Pelodiscus sinensis: one gene and its partners. The protein of the gene in region 1 interacts with the protein of each later gene in a biochemical or structural test. Links are inferred from orthologs where the notes say so. Each region holds a gene or a part of one and is shown on either strand. Other genes may lie near its edges. The genes, in order: ARF5, ARFIP2 and RAB11FIP3.

Region 1 (7,553 bases):
GACCTATGCTCCTGAAGCACAGCAGTTTGAATCCTTATTAAGAAGGAATTCCTTCTAATGGAACAGTAGATTTTTCTCTCATTTATGGTCCTATGAAGACGCAGGATTTATGCCAACCCAAACTCACTACAAATCTCTGTACTCACTAATGCTCTCCTCCTATATAATAGGTTGGCTAGTACACCCTGGTGTACCAACAAAGAATTACCTTTTTCATCTCTTGCAGCAGCTGTGCTTGAAAATGACTCTTGAGGCTGGCCATCTCCTCCTGTAGCTCCTGCAGCCTGGGATCTGGCTTGCTGCTCGTTTCCTGCACGGCCTGCAGCTCTCTCTTCAGCTCCTCCACCACCCTGTTCAGCTGCTTTGTCTGCAGTTCAGACTCTTCCACTCGGTCTGCCATGTACACCCTTCCAGCCAGTGCTTCCTTAGTCTCCTCCAACTTTAGCTCCACATCCTGGCGCAAGGTCCTTTCACCTTGCAGCAGCTTCTGCAGCTCCCGCAGCATCACGGCATGGTCACTCTGCTCTTGGGCCCGGTCATGTTGCTGAGTAATAAGACGAGCTTTGGTCTCTGCCAGCTGCTCCTGGACACACTTCATCTCTGCCTCCAACTTGCTCCTCTCTTCCTCAGCCTTTTTACTGGCCTCATCCAGGTCCTGCTTCATCTTTTTCTTGTCTGCTTGGTACGAGGCTTCCATGCGGGATTTCTCCTGGGTGACTGTAGCCAGGGAGCTGGTTAAGGTGGCCAGTTGAGTCTTCAGCTGGAGCACCCTTTTGTCAGTCTCACTAGCCGCGCCTGGCACATCCCCACTGCTCGTGCTGACCCCACTCTCCGACTCGCTCGCCTCCTCCGATTTCAGGGGGGGCCCCCCAGCTCCGGTTCGCTCATCGTCTGTCCCCAGTTCACCCTTGGCACTGGTCATGCTGGCAGCCGTGTCCACACTGGTGGCCGTGCCCGTGCTGTCCTCGCTGTGCGCGGAACTCCGGTCATCCGCACAGTCGGCAAGGGACACGCCGGAGTGGGCAGCGCCCGGGGGCGGGGGGCCACCCAGGCCCGCGTCGGTCTCGTGGGACACGGACAAGACTTTCAAGCTGGCTTCCAAGGCTTCCTTCTCGGCCAGCAGGCTCTTGTAGGCCCGCACCACGTCCCCCAGGCGCGTCTGGTACTGGAGCAGCTGCTTCCGCTGCGCCTCCACGGTCTCCGCGAGCTCCCTGCGGCTGGGGCCGCCCCCGAAGCTCATCCCGAACTTCTCCATGGCGGGGGGGCTCGGGCAGCCCCCGGGGAAGGCGCAGACTCCGGAGTGACTCCGGTTCCGTCACAGCCCCCCCCTCAGCGGGCGGGAAGAGGCCGCCCCCGGGATCGCGCCCCCCTCAGCGGGCGGGCGGGAAGAGGCCGCCCGCTCGGTGTTTCGGCGGGACGGGGAGAGGCCGGCCCCTCCCCCCGCCGCTCCTCACACGTCAGCAAGGCGGCTCCGCTCACCCGGACCTCCCGCCACACGCATGCGTGGAACCCGTCACGCCCGGCCCACCCTCATCACGCCTGCGCGTAAACCGCCGCTCCCCGGCCCGCGAGCCTCGCGCTTGCGCACCCCGCGCCTCTCGCGGCCAACGCGCCTGCGCCCAGGACGTAGGTCACCAACCGACGCTCGCCGCTCTTGAGGTTCCCCGCTAACGGTCGCTACGCGTGCGCGTATGGCGTCATTTCCCCCCCCCCGGGGGCCAACGGTCGCCGCGCATGCGCGCATATCTCAGCGCTCTACCTGCTGGCCCCGCTTCTTTCTCACTGCGCATGTGCCGATTGCAGTAGCCTTTTGACTCTTCTGCCCAGGTCGCAGCGCCCAAGTGCGCAGGTGCGCTCCTCGGGAAGGGGCGGGGCTATGAGATTTGGGGGCGGGGCTCCGAGGCAGTAGCTGCCACGTGGGGAGGGAGGCGCTGCACGGCTGCAGGAGGGGACCGGTTCCCTAGCTAGGGCCGGGGCGGGAGCTGCCTTTGCCCGAGGCCCTGAGCAGGCGATGCGGGGGCCCGGCAGAGGCGTGTTCAGCCCCACGGAGCCGGCCTCCTTCTTCCCGTGGGGGCCCGCCCCCACCCCGCCCCACTATCCTGTTGGGCTGGTTCCTGCTCAGCAGCGAGCCTCTGCCCCGGCCCACGGGCAGGGACGTGTCGCCGGGCCCGCTCAGCGTGGCTCCGTGGAGAAGTCACTTCCTAGCCCTGGGTCGCTCGGGCTCTGCCGGTCCGGCATGCTAGGGGCAAGGTGGGTGAAGCTGCGATGTCTTCCCCGCGGGTGAAAACCAGAAGCCTTTGAGACCCAGAGCACCTTGTTAGGTCCAGCGGAAGTTGGTCCAATAAAGCCTGTTCCCTCACCCACTGTTGTCTCTCGTGGCCGGTGGGGGAAAGCATGGCCCATAGGGAGGTTGCTCCTAGCTAGAACCCCATCTCTGGGATGATTTATGATCAGAGGGGTAGCCCCCGTTAGTCTGTAATGGGAAAAACTTAAGAAAAACCCCAAGGCTGTGTCTACATTGGCGCAATCTTGCGCCAAAGCGGTGGCTTTTGTGCAAAAACTTGCTGCCTGGCTACACTGGCCGCGAGATCTTGCGCAAGAACACTGACGTTCTAATGTGTGAAATCAGGGCTTCTTGCACAAGAACTATGATGCTCTCACTCAGGAATAAGCCCTCTTGTGTAACTGTTCTTGCGCAGAGGCCAGTGTAGATAGGCAACATGAATTTCTTGCCCAGGAAAGCCCTTTGGTTAAAATGGCCATCGGAGCTTTCTTGCGCAAGAGAGCGTCTACACTGGCATGGATGCTCTTGTGCAAAAGCACATCTCTTACGCAAAGGCACATGCCAGTGTAGATGCTCTCGTGCGCAAATACTTTAACGCAAGAACTCTTGCGTTAAAGAGTATTTGTGCAAGATCATGCCAATGTAGACATAGCCTAAGTCTTGCAGCACCTTAAAGACTAACAAAACAAGTGTAGTTTTCATTTAAAAAAGCCCCTTGGAATGCAAAAGGCAGCCCAGGTACACCAGGCAGTCAGCGACAATAGCTCCAGAGGGGTGGACTGTCCCATTCAGATTAATTTCAAGCCCTGCTGCCATTTCCAAGCGGTGTGACCTCACTGCAAGGCCCTGGCACAGGGTGGGATCCAGGAGTATCACCAGCATTGTGCCTAGAGCCCTGGAGCTGCAGGGAGCAGAAGTTTCGGGGTGAGGGAGCAGGACTCCCCCAAAAATGGGGCTCTGGCAGGATTCAAGGGATTGTGGCCCTTTCTAGAGACGGGGTAGTGTAGCTCCTGGGGGCGTGGCTAGCACTTGAAGAGGCGGAGCTCGCGGTGCAAGGGTGGGGCCAATGCTGTAGGAGGCGGGGCTATTGGTAGAGGGCGTGGCTCCTGCGGAGGATCGCGCTGCTGCTAGCGTCCAGGATCCTCGAGGAGGCGGAGCTAGTGCTGCAGGGGCGGGGCTCTTGCAGGAGGCGACTGACGGCGCCTGGCCACGTGCCCATGCTTCTGGGGGCGGGGCCACTGCCACGGGGCGGGGCTCGTTCTACAGGTATCGGAGTGTTGCCGGGTTTGGGGCTCTGCCAAGGGGCGGGACTAAGGCGGACGGGGGCGGGGCTCTTTCAGGAGGCGGGGTTAAGGCTCGGGAGCGGGTTCTGTGGGGGGGGCTCTGTCAGGAGGCGGGATTAAGGCGGGAGGGGGCGGGGCTATGGCTGGGGGGGGCTCGTCTAGGGGGCGGGGCTCTGATGCGAGGGAGCCTATGACAGGGTGGACGGGGCTCTGACGGGGCGGGGCTAAGACTCGGGAGGAGGCTCTGTGGGGGCGGCTCTGCCAGGAGGCGGGGCTACGGCGGGCGGGGCGGGGCTGTGCCAGGGGCGGGGCGGGGCTAAGACTCGGGAGGAGGCTCTGTGGGGGCGGCTCTGCCAGGAGGCGGGGCTACGGCGGGCGGGGCGGGGCTGTGCCAGGGGCGGGGCTAAGACTCGCTAGGGAGCTCTGTGGGGGGGGGAATCTGCCAGGAGGCGGGGCTAAGGCTCGTTGGGGGGCTCTGTGGGGGGGGAATCTGCCAGGAGGCGGGGCTAAGGCTCGGTGGGGGGCTCTGCCGAGGGCGGGGCTAAGGCTCGTTGGGGGGGCTCTGCCGAGGGCAGGGCTACGGCGGGCGGGGGCGGGGCTAAGACTCGCTAGGGAGCTCTGGGGGCGGGGATCTGCCAGGAGGCGGGGCTAAGGCTCGGTGGGGGGGCTCTGCCGAGGGCGGGGCTACAGCGGGCGGGGGCGGGGCCCTGCCAGGGGGCGGGGCCAGGCTGCTCGCAGCGGCGGTGTCGGCAGGCTCGGGGCGCAGCGCGGCTCCCGCTCCCCAGCCATGGGCCTCACGGTCTCCGCCATCTTCTCGCGGATCTTCGGCAAGAAGCAGATGCGGATCCTCATGGGTGAGGCCGCGTCCCCCCCTCCCACCCCCGGGGGGGCCCTACGGGCGGGGGGGGGGACGCAGGGCCGGGGGGGCCCAACGGGCAGGGGGGGGGACGCAGGGCCGGGGGGGCCCTACGGGCCGGGGGGGGACGCAGGGCCGGGGGGGCCCTACGGGCAGGGGGGGGGGGGACGCAGGGCCGGGGGGGCCCAACGGGCAGGGGGGGGGACGCAGGGCCGGGGGGGCCCTACGGGCCGGGGGGGGACGCAGGGCCGGGGGGGCCCAACGGGCAGGGGGGGGGGGATGCAGGGCTCTGGAGAATGGGGAGGGCTGTGTTCCCGGGGGGCAGTGGGGTTGGGTTGCGGGACTGGGGGGGGCAGGGCGATATGGGGAGAGGGGCGGGATGCAGGGCTCTGGAGAATGGGGAGGGCTGTGTTCCCGGGGGGCAGTGGGGTTGGGTTGCGGGACTGGGGGGGGCAGGGCGATATGGGGAGAGGGGCGGGATGCAGGGCGGGGGGATGCAGGGCTCTGGAGAATGGGGAGGGCTGTGTTCCCGGGGGGCAGTGGGGTTGGGTTGCGGGGCTGGGGGGGGCAGGGCGATATGGGGAGAGGGGTGGGATGCAGGGCGGGGGGGTGCAGGGCTCTGGAGAATGGGGAGGGCTGTGTTCCCGGGGGGCAGTGGGGTTGGGTTGCGGGACTGGGGGGGGCAGGGCGATATGGGGGGAGGGGCGGGATGCAGGGTGGGGGGGGATGCAGGGCTCTGGAGAATGGGGAGGGCTGTGTTCCCGGGGGGCAGTGGGGTTGGGTTGCGGGACTGGGGGGGGCAGGGCGATATGGGGAGAGGGGCGGGATGCAGGGCGGGGGGATGCAGGGCTCTGGAGAATGGGGAGGGCTGTGTTCCCGGGGGGCAGTGGGGTTGGGTTGCGGGGCTGGGGGGGGCAGGGCGATATGGGGAGAGGGGTGGGATGCAGGGCGGGGGGGTGCAGGGCTCTGGAGAATGGGGAGGGCTGTGTTCCCGGGGGGCAGTGGGGTTGGGTTGCGGGACTGGGGGGGGCAGGGCGATATGGGGGGAGGGGCGGGATGCAGGGTGGGGGGGGATGCAGGGCTCTGGAGAATGGGGAGGGCTGTGTTCCTGGGGGGCAGTGGGGTTGGGTTGCGGGACTGGGGGGGGCAGGGCGATATGGGGAGAGGGGCGGGATGCAGGGCGGGGGGGTGCAGGGCTCTGGAGAATGGGGAGGGCTGTGTTCCCGGGGGGCAGTGGGGTTGGGTTGCGGGGCTGGGGGGGGCAGGGCGATATGGGGAGAGGGGCGGGATGCAGGGCGGGGGGGTGCAGGGCTCTGGAGAATGGGGAGGGCTGTGTTCCCGGGGGGCAGTGGGGTTGGGTTGCGGGACTGGGGGGGGCAGGGCGATATGGGGGGAGGGGCGGGATGCAGGGTGGGGGGGGATGCAGGGCTCTGGAGAATGGGGAGGGCTGTGTTCCTTGGGGGCAGTGGGGTTGGGTTGCGGGACTGGGGGGGCAGGGCGATATGGGGAGAGGGGTGGGATGCAGGGCGGGGGGGTGCAGGGCTCTGGAGAATGGGGAGGGCTGTGTTCCCGGGGGGCAGTGGGGTTGGGTTGCGGGACTGGGGGGGGCAGGGCGATATGGGGGGAGGGGCGGGATGCAGGGCGGGGGGGTGCAGGGCTCTGGAGAATGGGGAGGGCTGTGTTCCCGGGGGGCAGTGGGGTTGGGTTGCGGGGCTGGGGGGGGCAGGGCGATATGGGGGGAGGGGCGGGATGCAGGGCGGGGGGGTGCAGGGCTCTGGAGAATGGGGAGGGCTGTGTTCCTGGGGGGCAGTGGGGTTGGGTTGCGGGACTGGGGGGGGGCAGGGCGATATGGGGAGAGGGGCGGGATGCAGGGCGGGGGGGTGCAGGGCTCTGGAGAATGGGGAGGGCTGTGTTCCTGGGGGGCAGTGGGGTTGGGTTGCGGGACTGGGGGGGCAGGGCGATATGGGGAGAGGGGTGGGATGCAGGGCGGGGGGGTGCAGGGCTCTGGAGAATGGGGAGGGCTGTGTTCCTGGGGGGCAGTGGGGTTGGGTTGCAGGACTGGGGGGGTGTTAACCCCCCTGTGCGCTCAGTTCCTCCATCCCAAGGTAGGTCAGTACTTTGACGGTGGGAGTGGAGGCGCTGGGCCGTCGGGGCTGGCAGCCTGGAGCAGTGGTGGGGCAGTCGGCTCTACCCTGGCGCTGCCAGCAGCTGCCCTTATCCCAGAGCATCGGGGAGGGCAGCCATTGCCTGGTGGAGACGTGCCCTGCAGAGCTGAGCGGCCCTGCCGAGCCAGAGCACCTGCTCTTCCTGCATTGTCCAGCTGCCTCTTGCCCTCTGCCAGGAGGGGCTGGGCTCACGACTGGCCCGTCCCCCCCCCAGTTTGAGACCCATGCGAGTGAGGGGTCCTGTGCCTCCCCCACCCGTTGGTTTCTGCAGGTTTAGAGAGCACACCTCAAGGAGAGGCCAGTGACTCGCTGGGCAATGAGGATCGTAGGCGCAGGCTCCCTCCATGTCCCCCAGGCATAGGCTCCCTCTGCAGACGGCAACAGGGTTTGAGCTTGTTGTTTGCTGGGTGTGAAGAGCTCTTGGTGACAGAGAGGCCAGAATTGTGTCCCTGAACCAGGGGGGAGGAGGTAGCCGAGCCAACAGCCCTGGCCTAGGAGAGGGGCTTGAACCCGGTAGCCATCAGGCCAGTCTCTCCGAAACGCAGTTCGGATTGGGCACCGGAGCGCCTCCTGACCCCGTGGCAGCTGGACGCTCCAGCCAGCGGATGCTTGCGCTGTGGCGGGGTGCGCGCTCTCGTGCCAGAGATGGGGTCCGAGCCACTCAGCAGGGTCAGCGGGGCCGGTGCCTTCAGCGGGTGCCCCAGGCTAGCGCAATTGACGCCTCGTGGGGAGGGAAGTGCCCCGAGATCCAGGCTGCGCGGGGGACCGAGGCTGGCTGTGGTCCGCTCGGCTCGCCTGGCTTTGACTTGGCGACGGCAGCTCTGGCTCGCTTTGCAGTGCACGGCGTGAGCAGGGGGCTGTTAACCCTGCCAGCTTGGAGCAGGGGGTTTACAGAGCCTGGTGGAGGAGGGGATCTATCCGCCCAGTTGCAGGGCAAATAAGTAAGAATGGCAGATTTGGAGGGG
Region 2 (8,163 bases), on another chromosome or scaffold:
CAAAACTTGTGAAGTCATTCTGCCGCTCTACTCTGCACTAGTTAGGCCTCAGCTGGAGTACTGTGTCCAGTTCTGGGCGCCACATTTCAAGAAAGATGTGGAGAAATTGGAAAGGGTACAGAGAAGAGCGACAAGAATGATTAAAGGTTTAGAGAACATGACCTATGAAGCCAGGCTTCATGAACTGGGCTTGTTTAGTTTGGAAAAAAGAAGATTAAGGGGGGACATGATAGCGGTTTTCAAATATCTAAAAGGGTGTCACAAGGAGGAAGGAGAAAATTTGTTCCTCTTGGTTTCTGAGGACAGGACAAGGAGTAATGGGCTTAAAGTGCAGCAGGGGAGGTTTAGATTGGACATTAGGAAAAAATTCCTAACTGTCAGGGTGGTCAAATATTGGAATAAATTGCCAAGGGAGGTGGTGGAATCTCCCTCTCTGGAGATATTTAAGAACAGGTTAGATAGACATCTGTCAGGGATAGTGTAGACGGAGCTTGATCCTGCCTTGAGGGCGGGGGGCTGGACTCGATGACCTCTCGAGGTCCCTTCCAGTCCTATTATTCTATGATTCTATGATTCTTTTTTTGTGTTTTTCCTATTTATATGGCTATAAAACCTTTTACTATTGGTTTTAATTCCCTTTGCAAGGTCCAACTCTACCTGACTTTTAGTCTTTCTCACTTTGTCCCTACATGCTCTAACCTCAATAAGGCAGCTTTCTTTACTGATCCCTCCCATCTTGCACTCCTTAATGCTTTCTGCTTTTTCTTAATCACCTCCCTGAGATGCTTGCTCACCCAGCTTGGTCTAACACACCTGCCTATACATTTTTTCCCTTTTCTTGGGATACAGGCTTCTGACAGCTTCTGCAACTTTAACTTAAAATAATTCCAGGCCTCTTCCACCCCAAAATCCATAATTTCTTTAGTCCAAACAACTTCCCTAACGAATTTCCTTAATTTACTAAAGTTAGCCCTTTTGAAATAAAAAACCCTCGTCTCAGATTTATTTTTGTTTATCCTTCCATTTAATTTGAACTGAATTAGCTCATGATCACTCGAGCCAAGGTTGTCCCCTACAACCATTTCATCTCTGAGGTCCTCACTACTCACCAAATCTAAAATAGCACCCCCCCCCCCTTGTTGGTTCAGCAACTACTTGATGAAGGAATTCATCAGCTCTTGTCCCTGGGGCTGTGCCAGTTAGCACAGTCACTGCCTGGACAGTCCTGGCCCACTGCTCTGTCCCCGGCAGAACCCTCCAGAGTGAGCACAGAGCGCGTATCCGTAGCGCCGCATGCCGATATCCCACGTACGGAGCGCGGAGCGCGTATCTGTAGCGCCACACACAGATATCCCACGTACGGGAGCGCAGAGCACGTATCCGTAGCGCCACACACAGATATCCCACGTACGGGAGCACGGAGCGCGTATCTGTAGCGCCGCACGCCGATATCCCACGTACGGGAGTGCGGAGGCGCATATCCGTAGCGCCACACACAGATATCCCACGTACGGGAGCACAGAGCACGTATCCGTAGCGCCACACACAGATATCCCACGTACGGGAGCGCGGAGCGCGTATCCGTAGCGCCGCACACAGATATCCCACGTACGGGAGCGCGGAGCGCGTATCCATAGCGCCGCACGCCGATATCCCACATACGGGAGCGTGGAGCGCGTATCCGTAGCGCCGCACGCCGATATCCCACGTACAGGAGCGCGGAGCACGTATCCGTAGCGCCACACACAGATATCCCACGTACGGGAGCGCGGAGCGCGTATCCATAGCGCCGCACGCCGATATCCCACGTACGGGAGCGCGTATCCGTAGCGCCGCACACCCGATATCCCACGTACGGGAGCGCGGAGCGCGTATCCGTATCGCCGCACGCCCATATCCCACGTACGGGAGCGTGGAGCGCGTATCCGTAGTGCCGCACGCCGATATCCCACGTACGGGAGCGCGGAGCACGTATCCGTAGCACCACACACAGATATCCCACGTACGGGAGCGCGGAGCGCGTATCCATAGCGCCGCATGCCGATATCCCACGTACGGGAGCGCGGAGTACGTATCCGTAGCGCCGCATGCCGATATCCCACGTACGGGAGCGCGGAGCGCGTATCCGTAGCGCCGCACGCCGATATCCCACGTACAGGAGCGCGGAGCGCGTATCCGTAGCGCCGCACGCCGATATCCCACGTACGGGAGCGCGGAGCGCGTATCCGTAGCGCCGCATGCCGATATCCCACGTACGGGAGCGCGGAGCACGTATCCGTAGCGCCGCACGCCGATATCCCACGTACAGGAGCGCGGAGCGCGTATCCGTAGCGCCGCACACAGATATCCCACGTACGGGAGCGCGGAGCGCGTATCCGTAGCGCCGCACACAGATATCCCACGTACGGGAGCGCGGAGCGCGTATCCGTAGCGCCGCACGCCGATATCCCACGTACGGGAGCGCGTATCCGTAGCGCCGCACGCCGATATCCCACGTACAGGAGCGCGGAGCGCGTATCCGTAGCGCCGCACGCCGATATCCCACGTACGGGAGCAGCACACACACAATCAGTAGGACATAAGCTTTCATATGACACCTCATGTGGCCCCCTTTGTATAGACTTTTGGGGCAAACACCCCCCTGTGGGCGCAGCCGTGACTTGTCTGAACCCCTTTAAAATCCAGTAACGTGACACACGGCCCTCCACGTCCTTAGCCGCAGCTCAATCTCCAGGCATCACAGCTGTGCCGAGGAGATCCTGCCTGGGACGAACTGCTGCTGGCGGAGCGTGGCCTGGCGGGCCCCACATGCCTGTCAGGCAGTTCCTTGCCCCTTCTCCTGTCTCAGAGCCTGAAACTCCCCAGGGGTGTCTGGCTGCTCCCTGCTGGGACAGGATCCAGCCCCCTGGAAGGATCATTCTCTTCCAGCCGGCAATCAGCTGGGACTTGGTCAGTTCCCCCACGGGCAGGCCCCCCTCCTTGCACAGCCCCAAGGCGCCTGCCTTCAGGAGTCGGGTGTAGGCCATCTCCCTCCATTCCCCGGGTGCAGACACACCGGCCAATGCTGCAGCACCCCACGATCCCAGGAAGAACCCTTCCTGGGCCCCCCTTCCCCGCAGAGTTAGACCGCCCTCTCCTGGGATCACTTCCCACAGTCCACAGGGGAACCTCTTCTGGGGGGGGGGCACCCCCTTCTCCGTGGCCCCACTTGGGTTAAGCTGCTTTCCTCTCCACTTCCTGGAACTGCGTCCCATGGCCTCCAGTGCCTGGCTCTTGCAAGCCCCCTTCCTTCTCCTGTGCCCAGTGACTTCCTGGCAGATGCTCCGTCCACGGGGTACAGTCCATCCCACCACTGTCCTCTAGTGTGGGGGAGTCCCCAGCCCTGCACCCCGATGCGCAGCAGGTAGAACACAGGAGTTACACATTGACACAGACACAGCGTAGCCTGGACTTGTTACAGGAGCCAGGAACGTTCAGTACAGCCCAGCCTGGGGAGACTGGGCCCTGTTCCCCCTTCCTGCTCAATACCCCCCTCTCGTCCTGAAAACCAGCCAAGACTGACCCATACCCCAGACCCTAGTCCCCAGCCTGGTGTCAGCCCTGCCCCCCTTTGTTCCCTTCCCGGGCCCAGGGTGTTATCTACTGTTCCCCTGGCCCTCAGGACCTCCCCAGTGAGTCCTGCCCAGCTTCCCCGTCTTCATCCAGACAGTGCACTGTGCCCAGGGAAACTGAGGCACGCACACACACCTGGAGTCCTTACAGAACAGCAGACTCACATACAGCACCGCAAGGCCAACAGAATATGGCCCAAATACAGTCCCACTATGTCACTGTGTCACTGAGGGTATGTCTAGACTCCGTCCCTGTCGCCAGAGGGGTGTGAATTAGACTGACATTGCTAATGGCGCGGGGATTTCAATAGCCCGCGCTTCATTAGAATAAAAATGGCCGACATGGCAATTTGCCGGTAAAAAGTGGCAGTCTAGACGTGGGTCGGTCGACAAGGAAAGCCTTTTCTGACCGATCCCTTATGCCTCGTGCAACGACGTTTGCTGGATCGGTCGGAAACAGCTTTCCTTGCTGACCAATTCCTGTCTAGACTGCTGCTTTTTGCCGGCAATGTGCGGGAGATTGGAATCCCTGCGTCATTAGCAATGTTGGTCTGTCTAATTCACACCCCTCTGGCGACAGAGGGATGGAGTCTAGACATGCCCTGAGCATGGTGTATACATCCCAATGCCGGCGGGAGGGAGATTGAGGCATTTGGTTGGCTACATGGCATGGAAAGGGACAAAAGGGGAGACTGTGTCATGCTCTGTGGTTAGCATGTGGAACTCCTTGCCACAGGATGTCACTGAGAGAAGAGGGTAAATCCTGATGTGGGGCATGGGGAGAGGAAGATTAGGGCAGCTGGTTGGTCACACAGCACAGGGACCGGGGGATGCTCCGTGGCATGGAAAGGGAAGACTGCCATGGTTCGTGGTTAGCCTGTGGAACTCCCCACCACGTGATGTCACTGAGGCCTTAGCAAGACTTTGAGTGGCCTGGCCACTCTGGGGGGGCGGGACTAGCCAGAGGGATAGGAGGGCCGAGCAGTTTGGGCAGGAATATGAAGCCTGCTCATCTCTGAGTATCGGTGTCCCAGATGAGTCCCTCCTGGGGGCAGGTTCCCCCGCTGCTGCCTTAGCAGCACATGGTGCTAGGCCCGAGTCTGGGCCTTGCGCCGCCACCAGAGCAGCACAGGACACAGCCAAGGCAAGGCCCCATTGCCGGGAGCAGGATGGAGATGGCTGGCTTAGCCCTGCCGGGCCCTGGGAGTCTGCTGCAGGCCGGGGCCTTCCTGCCGCTGCCCTGCTGTGGGGTGGGGTGGGGTGGAGGCACTGAGGGGGCCTTGCAGGGCATAGGCAAAGTGCCACTGTTCCAGCCGGTGGGGGGCACTGTGGCCTGGCGGCCGTCACCCCTCAGAGGCACTTCCCCTGCCACCCCTCTTCTGCTGGGCCGGCGGGCACGGCCAGAGTGCCAGCAACAGCCACTCTGCAAGCCAGGGCGCTGGTGGGGACCGGGAGGCGGCTGTGCCCAAGCGTGCTGCTCCCTGGATCCCCTGCCTCCGGGAGCGGGGGATATTGGCACAGCAGCACCATGCGGCTGGCGACAGTCCCCCAAGGGCTGGTGGGGTGGCACTGTAGGGCGCCCAGACCTGCAGCGAAGAGGCCTGGGAGGAGACGCTGCCCGACCTGCCAGCCCCGTGCTCTGTGTGTTCCAGGCTCCGGGCTGCACCAGCCCCAGCCCAGCCCCACGGCAGCGGGGGACGAGGCCGCTCGGGGTCTTGCTGTGGAGAAGTTTGATATTGTCAAGAAATGGGGCATCAACACATACAAGGTGAGTTTCCACCTCGGTCAGGCGGGGGGAGACGGGGGCACGGGGGGCTCTCTCAAAGGAGTGGGGGCGGAGGGGGGCTCTCTCAAAGGAGCGGGGGGCAGAGGGGGCTCTCTCAAAGGAGCGGGGGGCAGAGGGGGCTCTCCCGAAGGAGCGGGGGGCCGGAGGGGGCTCTCCCGAAGGAGCGGGGGGCCGGAGGGGGCTCTCCCGAAGGAGCGGGGGGGCCGGAGGGGGCTCTCCCGAAGGAGCGGGGGGCCGGGGGGCAGAGGGACTGTCACATGGGGGGGCTGTCCCGGTCACGTTAGCGGAGTATAAGGGAAGCAGCCAGGTCACTGCTGCGCCCATGGGGGGGGGTGGGGGGTTTGCCCCAAAAGTTGGTCCGAAGGGGCCCTGTGAGGTGTCGAACAAAAGCTACTTTCTACTGAGTCTGTGGGGCAAACCTTTGCCGGGGGGCGTGGGGGGCAGCAGGCCCCGTGCTGCCGGGCTGGGAGGGCCCCACTGGGCATGCTCCCAGCAGAGCCGTATATAAAGGCGGGGAGCCCGGCAAGGGGCCCAGGCTGCCGCCCCGGTGTCCCTGCAGCAGCTGAAGCCAGAGCCAGAGCGGCAGGAAGCAGCCCGGGGCCAGGGCTTGCCGGATTCCCCACCCAGCAGGCAGGAGCGTGAACCCTGCCTGCTGGGACCCGGTGGAGGGGGGCCCCGGGTGCCCCGCCCCCCCTTTCCGCGGCAAACACGCCGGCCAGGGGGGGCTTTTTCCGGAGCTAGGCCCCAGAGACCATATATACCCTGCTAGGGGGGCCTGGACTTGGGGCTAGTTCTGGGAATACCATATTTGCCCTGAGAGAGGGGCCGAGACTTTTGGGACTTTGGGTACTGTATATGCCCTGAGAGAAGGGCCTGGACCGACACACGGGCCAGTAGAGGGGGGCTGCAGCCCCCGGGGGGCCTACCCCTTGACAGATGGGACTTGGTCCTGCTGTGCAGGCAGGGGACTGGACTCAGTGACCTTCAAGGCCCCTTCCAGTTCTAGGAGACAGGCATCTCCAGTCATTTAAAAAAAACCATTGTGTCTGCTCGTCATAGATCGGTTCCTGTCCGTGTGGAGTTAGGAATATGGACTCTGTGTGGAGACGGGACGTTTCTCTGCATGTGCTTGAGCAATGGGCTCAACCTATGGACATGCTAATTAGCAAGGCTCCAGGGACAACGGGCCTCCTAAGTACCAGAGACCCACCTGGGAAGGAATCCAGGTGCCTGGCCAGAGACCATGTGACTATCTCCAGCTTGGAAGAGACCAGGAAGGGAGATAAAGATGCCACAGTGGCCAGGTCTGGGCACAGCTGAGGGCGTCCGCTCAGGGCAAATTGCTCAACTTCGAGGCTCCTTACAGCCCCAGACTGGAGACCTTCCCAAACAGGCCACACACCAGTCCCCCAGAGCACTCCAGCTGCCTGCCTGAAGCCTCCCGAGCAAAACCCCTCCCACACCCCAGCAATATCCGTGCCCCAGATGGCCCCGGGCCTCATACACAGGTGAGGGGTCCTAGCACCCAATCCCACCTACCCCGAACAAGTTCTGTCCGGTTCCAAGAAACCAGCCACAGATCCCTGGTCAATTTCCCCTCCGGACCTTACCCACAAATCACGCTGGGCCAATCCTTTAGCATCTAACATCTAAAGGTTTATCAGTGAGGGTACGTCTAGACAACAGGGTTTTGTCGACAGAAGTTTTGTTGACAGATACTGTCGACAAAGCTTCTGTCGACAAAGAGCGTCTAGACACATCCAGTTCTGTCGACAACGCAAGCTGCTTTGTCAACATAACAGTGTGGACGCAAAGGACAGTGTAGATGCAGTAGCGCCTTCTGGCGACAAAAGGCGTTATTCCTTGTAAAATGAGGTTTACCAGCGTCGACAACACTGCTGAGTTCTGTCGACGTTATGTCAACAGAACTCAGCGCTAGTGTAGACGCAGGTTTAGTTTTGTCGACAAAACCCTGTAGTCTAGACACCCCCTAAGAGAAAGGAAGCGTGAGAGTGAGGTTGTTAAAGGATCGTACGTTACATGCAGTGAATCTCCCAGTTCTCGAGGCAGGCTCTAGCAGAGATGTTACAGCTGCTGGCTTAGAAGTCCTTGGTGTATATCCTGTATCCAGATGGGCCCACAGTTCTTCCCGGCTCGTGATTCCCTGTGAGGCCGCATCTGGGGTCAGGAGCAGATCTGAGGACCAAGATGGAGTCGGCCACATGACATCTTTATCTCCCCCCCGCCCGGCTTCTTCCAAGCTGGAGACAGTCACATGGTCTCTGGCCAGGCACCTGGATTCCTTCCCAGGTGGGTCTCTGGTACTTAGGAGGCCCCTTGTCCCTGGAGCCTTGCTAATTAGCATGTCCATAGGCTGAGCCCATTGCTCAAGCACATGCAGAGAAACGTCCCGTCTCCACACAGAGTCCATATTCCTAACTCCACACGGACAGGAACCGATCTATGAAGAGCAGACACAGACTCAGAAGAAAGTAGCTTTTGTTTGACACCTCACAGGGCCCCTTTGTACCCACTTTTGGGGCAAACACCCCCCAGGGGTGCAGCAGTGACCTGGCTGCTTCCCTTAAACTCCAGTAACGTGACAGTCCCAAACGAGTGGTGGGAATGGGGGCAGATGGGGCTGTCGCATGGGGCAGCGGGGTGGGGGGCTGTCCCAAGGGGCAGGGGAGGTGGAGGGAGGCTGTCCCAAGGGGCAGCGGGGGGGGCTGTCTCAAGGGACGGGGGGGCTGTCCCAAGGAGCGACGG
Region 3 (7,515 bases), on another chromosome or scaffold:
GCTACCTGGACAAGTTTAATCAGTTGTACTTGTATAATTAAATTGCTATAGTTATATCAGTGTAAACCGCCATGTGAATGCTCTTTGGCCAGGTCTACACTAGCTCTGTAAGGTCGGTTTAAGGTATGCAACTCCAGCTACGGAGACTACATATGCTCCAGTCAGCTTCCCTTACTCCTTGTGACAGAGGAGTACAGATGCTGGCTGAAGCTGACCTCAGCATTCGATTGATGGGTCTATATTAGACCCGCTAAATCAAACACCAGAACGTCGATCTCCGGCATGGTGAGTGAAGACATGCCCCTATTCTGGAGTAAGATTTTGTTTAGTTTAAACTTTTCAAAATAACATGAACAAATTGCAATACCTTGGAATAAGACTGTACAGAAGGGGTTATACCAGTATAATTATAGTGCTTTAAAGTCACAGATTATGCCACTGTGAACTTTGCTGCATAGATAATCCCTTGAATGCACGTATAACTTTACTCATGAGAACTAGCCGGTCCAGAAATGTTACTCATGTACATAAGGGTTTGAGGCCTGTAAACATAACTAATTAAATAAAAATTCAGAGCAAACTAGATATATCTATATTTATTTCTCTCTCTCTCATATAAGCTTAAACTATATTTTTCCCTAATGAAGTAGGATTCCTCACTTTCTCCCCTCTTGTGCACAATTACCCTTCTGTAAAATGGGAGTGTTGTGAAGATTTCACAAGCCTCTCTCCATTTATCACTGAAGGCATTGGGAGGCTCCCACTCTGCCCTGACATTTCATGAATGGGCATGTCAAACGTGAAGTGGTGTTCTTGCCTATCCCGAGGCCATGAATGCATAGAATACATTAATGCTATTTTTCAATTCATGCTCGTCTTAAATTTGATTCTTGATGTAATTATTGATACTAAATAATTAATACTTGGCTAGGATGAACCAGTTGTATTGACAAAGTACGTGGTTTTTTTAGTTGTGCTGGCATGATGCCCAGTTGTTTAATGATGATGGAGTGTCTGATGAATGTTCATGTTTGAGGTCTCAGCTCAGTCCAATGTGATTATTGCAAACATGGGCTCCTGGGACCGATAAAATGTCCCTGACTGTTGCAGGCTGACAGCCTTGTTTTGTACTGTTTGGTTTTGCATGTACAGTGTTAATATGCCTTGCTTCAAAGAGGTTAGCAGCAACATGTCAGTTCTGCTCCTACCTTATTTTGTCAGGGGCTGATGTTGCTGCATTGCTGGGATCAATCCAACATGCTTTCAAGTTTGACTTTAGCGTGTTTTTGGATTGTGTTTACCAACCACCGTAGGAGCGTGTACCTTGTGTTTTAGCTGATCATAAAAATATAGCTTGAGATGACCATACAAACAAGAGGCCCAGGCTACGGCACATGAGTTTTAAGAACATATTTGGAATACTAGACATGCAGTAATGGATTTCAAGATTGGGAATCTTCTCCTAGCATTTGAAGCTGCAAACTGCTCTAAGAAAGTGCATACAGTACCGATCAAGTTGCCTAAGGTGGTGATGTGTTGTCCGTGTCTTGCCCATGTCTCATGGCTGCCTGGGAGACATTTAGCGTTGTGTGTTTTGATGCTTTTATCATTCCAGAGGTGCTGTGACAGCATTCTAACGCCAGGGCTGGCCTTGGCTTTGAGGTGTAACATCATCATCAGCTGCGGCATGCCATGAGAATTCCTTTGTACGTGCAATCTAAAATGAAGATTATAAACATAACACCCCCGCAATAACATTTTTTTAGGTGACAAATCTGAGGACCTGTTCCAGATTGAAGGGTCATTAGAGGAGGTTTCAGAACAAATTGATAAATTAAACAGTAAAAGTCACCAGGACTAGATGGCACTCACCGAAGAGTTCTGAAAGAACTCTAATGTGACATTGCGGAACGACTAACAGTGGGTTGTAACTTATCTTTTAAATTTGCTCCTGTACCAAATGACTGGAAGATAGCCAATGTGACACCAATATTTAAAAAGGGCTCTAGAGGTGATCCTGGCAATTACAGGCCAGTAGGTCTAACTTCAATAGCAGGCACATTGGTTGAAACTGTACCAAAGAACAGAATTATTAGACACAAAGAGGGACATAATGTGTGTGTGTGGGGGGGGGAGTCTACATGGCTCCTGTAAAGGAAAATCCTCCTCACCGATCTACTAGAATTATTTGAGGGGGGGGTCAACAAAAGCATGTGGACAAGAAGGATCCAGTGGATATCATGTACTTGGATTTCCAGAAAGGTCCCTCACTAAAGGCTCTTAAAGTGAGCTGCCATGGGATAAGAGGGAAGGTCCCCTCATGGATTGGTCACTGGTTAAAAGAGAGGAAATGGAGTAGGATTAAATGGTTGGTTTTCAGAATGGAGAGAGATAACCAGTGGTGTCCCCCAAGGAGCCACTCTGGAACCAATCTTATTCAACACACTCATAAATTATCCGGAGAAAGGGGTCAATAGTGAGGTGGCAAATGATACAAAGATAGTCAAGTCCAAAGCAAACGGTGAAGAGCCTCAAAATGATCTCTCAAAACTAGGTGACTGAGCAACAAAATGGCAGATGAATTTGAATGTGGATAAATGCAAAGCAATGCATATTGGAAACCAATCCCAACTAGACACATAAAATGAAGACTAAGTTAGCTGTTACCACTCAAGAGAAATCTTGGAGTCATTGTGGATTGTTGTCTGAAAACATCCACTCAGTGTCCAGCGGCAGTTAGAAAACCAAACAATGTTAGGAATCATTACAAAAGGGACAGTGAATAAGACAGAATATCTTATTGCCTCTGTATAAATCCATGGTACACCCATATCTGGAGTACTGTGTGCAGATGTGGTCACCTCATCTCTCAAAAGATTCCTTGGCATTGGAAAAAAGTTCAGAAAAGGGCGACAAAAATTATTAAGGGTATGGAACAGCTGCCATATGAGGAGAGATTAATAAAACTGTGACTTTTCTGCTTGGAAAAGAGATGACTAAGGGGATATAATAGAAGTCTAGAAAATCATGACTGATACGGAAAATGTGCCTAGAGTTAGTTACTCTTTCCTATTACACAAGTACTAGGGGTTAGCAAATGAAATTAATAGGCAGCAGGTTTAAAAGAAAACAAAAGGAAATATCTTTTCCCCACAAAACAACCTGTGGAACTCCTTGTTGGAGGATGTTGTGAAGGCCAACACTATAACAGGGTACAAAAGAGAGCGAGAGAAATTCAAGGATTGGTCCAGCAATGGCTATTTGCCAGGATGGATAGGAATGGTATCGCTAGCCTCAGTTTGTCAGAAGCTGGGAATGGGCGACGGGAGGATTCCCTGTTCTCTTCATTCCCTCTGGGGGACTTAGCATTGGCCAGCGGTGGCAGACAGGACGCAGGGCAGGATGGGCCTTTGCTCTGACCCCCATAGGGCCTGGTGGTTCTTAGGTGAGACACATACAAATACGTACTAGTTTGTTTGGCCCCACAACCCCACCCCACCCTGCAGACGCTAGTTACTGGGCGAAGAGCCCCACCACACAAGAGCCCCTGCAGTCCAGCTGTAGGCTCTGGGCGATGGTCTCACCCTTTCCATCGAGGACCCCCCCCCCCCCTCATGGAGGCGGGATGCAGACGGAAGCTCTCTCCTCCCCTCCCTCCCCATCGCAGCCTGAGAAGCGGGGCGGGGGTCCCGCACGGACCTGTCAGGAATCTGTTCAAGCCCATGGGGGGGGGGGGGGGGCGGAGGAGCAGAGAGCAGGCGTGGGCTGAATAAATCCGTCAGCGCACCCCTTGCACCTGATCCCTGCCTGCCCCGCGCAACCTGCACGCTACTGGCGTCCCCACGCGCGCAACCTGGCAGCGCCGACGCGCCACCAGCCCCCAGGTGTTGCGCAGCGCATCTTTGCGCGGCTGTACCGAGCGCAGCGCAGGCGGCGGCTGCTCCCGGGCGCTGGAGTCCGCTGGCGGCGGGGAGCGATTGGGGGGGAGAGGAGGGGGGCGGAGTGACATCACTGCTACTGCGGTAGGGCTGGAGCTGGGGGTGTCGCGGCCCCGCCCACCTCCCTCCTTCCCAGGCTTGGGAGAAGTCACCCAAAAGAGACAGCAAGGGGAGGGGCGTGTGCACGGAGCTCCCCGCCCCCACTGTCGCGGGGGGGGAGGGAGCACACACAGAGCCCCCCCCCCCAGTGCCCGGCGTGGCACAGATACACACAGAGTCCCCCCAGTGCCCGGGGGGGGCGCACACATACTGAGCCTCCCGCCCCCAGTGCGGGGGGGGGCACAGACAGAGCCCCCGCCCCCGCCGCAGTCCCGCCCCGTGGCCGGCGCGGGCGGAGCCAGGGCCCGCAGACACAAAGCGCTGCCCGGCTGCAGCAGGGAGCCGCGCCGCCCAGCAGAGCCTGCAGCCCGGAGCCGGAGCGCAGCGCCTCGCCTCCCGTGCGCGCGTGCGGGGCCCCGAGGTGCGGGCGTGCCGGGGCTTGGCCTGCCCGGGCCCCGCAGACGATGGATGCGGGCGGGCGGCAGCGGCGCGGCCCCGGCTCGCAGGGGCGGCTCCGGCGAGCAGCAGCAATGCGGCGCTTCTGCGCGGGGCTGCCCGGGCCCGCCGAGCCCCGGCGCCGGGCGAGCCAGGGGCACTGAGCGGCCTGCGCCCGCCTGACTGGCGGCTGAAAATGGAGCCGGCTTTGCTGCGCGCTCGGGCGCAGGAGCTCCCCGGGGAGCGGGGGGCGCAGCTGCCCGGCCCGGCCCTGGGGCTGGTCCCCAGCGAGGCGAGCGGACCAGCGCCCCCGGGGCAGCGCTGGGGAGAGATGCCGCCCCCTAGGCTGGGCTTGGCCGGCCCCCGCGAGGATTTATACCGCCCGGGAGAGCCGGCGAGCGGCGTCTGGCCCGCGGGCGCTGCGGACCCAATCAGCGGCGCGGCCCGCGGTGCAGGTGCGGCTGATAATGCGCGGGGCAGCCCCCGGCGGGCGTTGGCTTTGCCCGGGTTTGCGGGGCCGGGCGAGCAGCGACTCTCTCCCGGGCTGGACCGGGCTGGCTCGCCGCCCCGCGGCGCTGGGCTGGGGCCGGGGAGCTTTCCTGGAGGCGGCGGGTTCTATTTCGCCATGGAGCCCTCCCCGCCGCGGAGCCGCTCGGAGGGACCCGCTCCAGCGTCCCCTTGGACTACAGAGCCCGAGGACCATGGATCCCAGAGCCGCCCGGAGCTTCCCTTAAGTCCCCGGGGCTTCTCGCCGGCCGGCCAGGAGATGGACCTTCTCCCCTCCTTCCATTGCCCCGGCGACCTGAGCCAGCCCCCCGACTCCGGCCAGCCTGCGCCCAGAGCGAGCGACTCCCCCGGCTGCGAAGAAGACGAGCCCCGTCTCCGAGCCGTGTTCGATGCCCTGGACCGAGACGGGGATGGCTTCGTGCGGATAGAGGAGTTCGTGCAGTTCGCTACAGTCTATGGAGCAGAACAGGTAAGAGTCCGCGTGTCGCTCGGGCCGGGTACCTGGCAGGGGTGGTGCCAGCTGAGGGCCGCTCGGCTCTGTCCTGCAGGCACGTGTCTCTTTTGTGTGTCTCCTCGCCATGGGCATTTTCCGGCGGTGCCTGGGTCGGCGCGCCAGGCGTCTGCTGGGACCTTGTCTGCTGGCCTGAGCTGGGCAAAACTCGCCTGCTCTTCGAGCTGTAAGGTGGGGGCGAGGCCAGCGGAGCCTCCTACAGCGCTAGGGCTCGTAGCACGAGCTGTTGTGTGGCGGGGCAGGCGCTGTTCTCATTTCATGCGAATTGTAGCGACCATGAGGTCAGATGGGGTCCCCTGGTTTGAAAACGTGTCTCTCGTTTGCCTCTCACTTCCTGTGTGGTCTGGTCATTTCTCTGTCTTCATGGGGGATGGAACAAACCAAAGCTGACAACTCCGGCTCCTTCTGTCTGCTAGCTGTGGGCTTGGCGGTCCTTCCGACTCTGCCTCTGTTCTCGGTAGCTTGGCTTCTCAGCCTGATGTTAAACCGCTGTTATTGAGGTGACTTGTCATGTACCCGGCACCTCTTCACTTGCTGAATGGCTGAGTGAGAACTTATTCAGGAGCTGGGCTGCCAGCTGTAGTGAAGGCGATTGGCTGATGCTTTCATTTCGGAACCCTGCCATTGCATTTTAGGCAGCATAAGCAAAGAAGTTGAACAGCTTCAGATCCTTCATGCAAGTATTTAGGTAAAGAGGGTGGACAGTGGGGCTTTGATAAGTTGGCCTGTTCCCGGGTTCCTTTATACCTCAGAGCAGTGGCAATTGTAGATTGCACGTAGAGCCTCCCAGGCATCTTGAATAAAACATGACACTTCACAGGCATACTTGAGATGTAAGTCAGTCCTTCTTGAAGCGACACCTCCATCTGCACAGACTTGCTGGTGTGTAATAATTAGGATTTGGGGACTCCTACATGTCCTTTCAAGTGAAGGACATCTGCTAATCTGAAAAAATGTGACTGGCACAGAAAGATGACCCGTAGGGGTTTTGAAAGCTTGCTTGTTAGAAATGTTGGACCTTTTGAAGCACTGCTTTGTAAACCAATCGAAATAAGCTACAGGTGGAGCAGATGTTTGCTAATAAAGGTGTTGCAAACCCAACATAAACCATTCATTGTTTGTGGACACTGGATATATAATTTGCTCATCATGCTAAATATAACAGTAAGTATTATAGAATCAAAGAACAATGGAACTGGAAGGGGCCTGGAAGTCATCAAGTCCAGGCCCCTGCTCTCATGGCAGGACCAAGCACCGTCTAGAAGAGGTCATCCCTGATAGATGTCTGTCAACCTGCTCTTAAGTATCTCCAATGAGGGAGATTCCACAACTTCCCTAGGCAACTTATTCCAGTGTTAACCATCCTGTCAGGAAGTTTTTCCTAATGTCCAACCTAACCCCCCCCTTGCTACAATTTAAACCCATTGCTGCTTGTCCTGTCGTCAGAGGCCAAGGAGAACAAATTTTTCTCACTCCTCATAGCTCGTGTTCTCTAGACCTTTCATCATTTTTGCTGCCCTTCTCTGGACCTTCTCCAGTTTCTCCACAGCTTTCCTGAAATGCGGTGCCCAGAACTGGACACAATACTCCAACTGAGGCCTAATCAGCACAGAGGGGAAGAACGACTTCTCGTGTCTTGCTCACAGTACTCCTGTGAATGCATCCCAGAATCATGTTTGCTTTTTTTGCAACAGTGTCACGCTGTTGACTCATATTTAGCTTGTGGTCCATTATAACCCCTAGATCCCTTTCTGCAGGACTCCTTCCTAGACAGTCACCTCCCAGTCCGTATGTATGAAACGGATTGTTCCCTCCTAAGTGGAGCACTTTTGCATTTGTTCTTGTTAAACTTCATCCCGTTTGCCTCACACCATTTCTCCAGTTTTTCCAGATCATTCTGAATTGCAATCCCTCCCATCTTCAAATGAATAATCATACTCTCTGTGGCATCATCTAAATAATTGCTGAAGATATTGAACAGAACCGGTCCCAAAACAGACCCCTGCGGAACCCCACTTCTTGTGT

Evidence for each region.
Region 2: the proteins of ARF5 (region 1) and ARFIP2 form a complex in vitro, tested with the Homo sapiens proteins (2 studies listed by BioGRID). The link is inferred for Pelodiscus sinensis from reciprocal best matches to the Homo sapiens genes ARF5 and ARFIP2.
Region 3: the proteins of ARF5 (region 1) and RAB11FIP3 form a complex in vitro, tested with the Homo sapiens proteins (2 studies listed by BioGRID). The link is inferred for Pelodiscus sinensis from reciprocal best matches to the Homo sapiens genes ARF5 and RAB11FIP3.

What each region holds. Positions count from the first base shown.
Region 1 is NC_134711.1:567,055-574,607, reverse strand, and holds the start of ARF5 (ADP-ribosylation factor 5), read left to right. Parts: upstream 1-4,259; 5' UTR 4,260-4,354; coding exon 4,355-4,421; intron 4,422-7,553. Other genes in the region: GCC1 (GRIP and coiled-coil domain-containing protein 1), read right to left, coding at 209-1,255.
Region 2 is NW_027465814.1:176,958-185,120, reverse strand, and holds the start of ARFIP2 (arfaptin-2), read left to right. Parts: upstream 1-5,124; 5' UTR 5,125-5,139; coding exon 5,140-5,379; intron 5,380-8,163. UniProt on the Homo sapiens protein: Plays a role in constitutive metalloproteinase (MMP) secretion from the trans Golgi network. May have important functions during vesicle biogenesis at certain cargo subdomains, which could be predominantly utilized by secreted MMPs, such as MMP7 and MMP2.
Region 3 is NC_134726.1:2,492,097-2,499,611, reverse strand, and holds the start of RAB11FIP3 (rab11 family-interacting protein 3), read left to right. Parts: upstream 1-4,365; 5' UTR 4,366-4,668; coding exon 4,669-5,448; intron 5,449-7,515. UniProt on the Homo sapiens protein: Downstream effector molecule for Rab11 GTPase which is involved in endocytic trafficking, cytokinesis and intracellular ciliogenesis by participating in membrane delivery. Recruited by Rab11 to endosomes where it links Rab11 to dynein motor complex.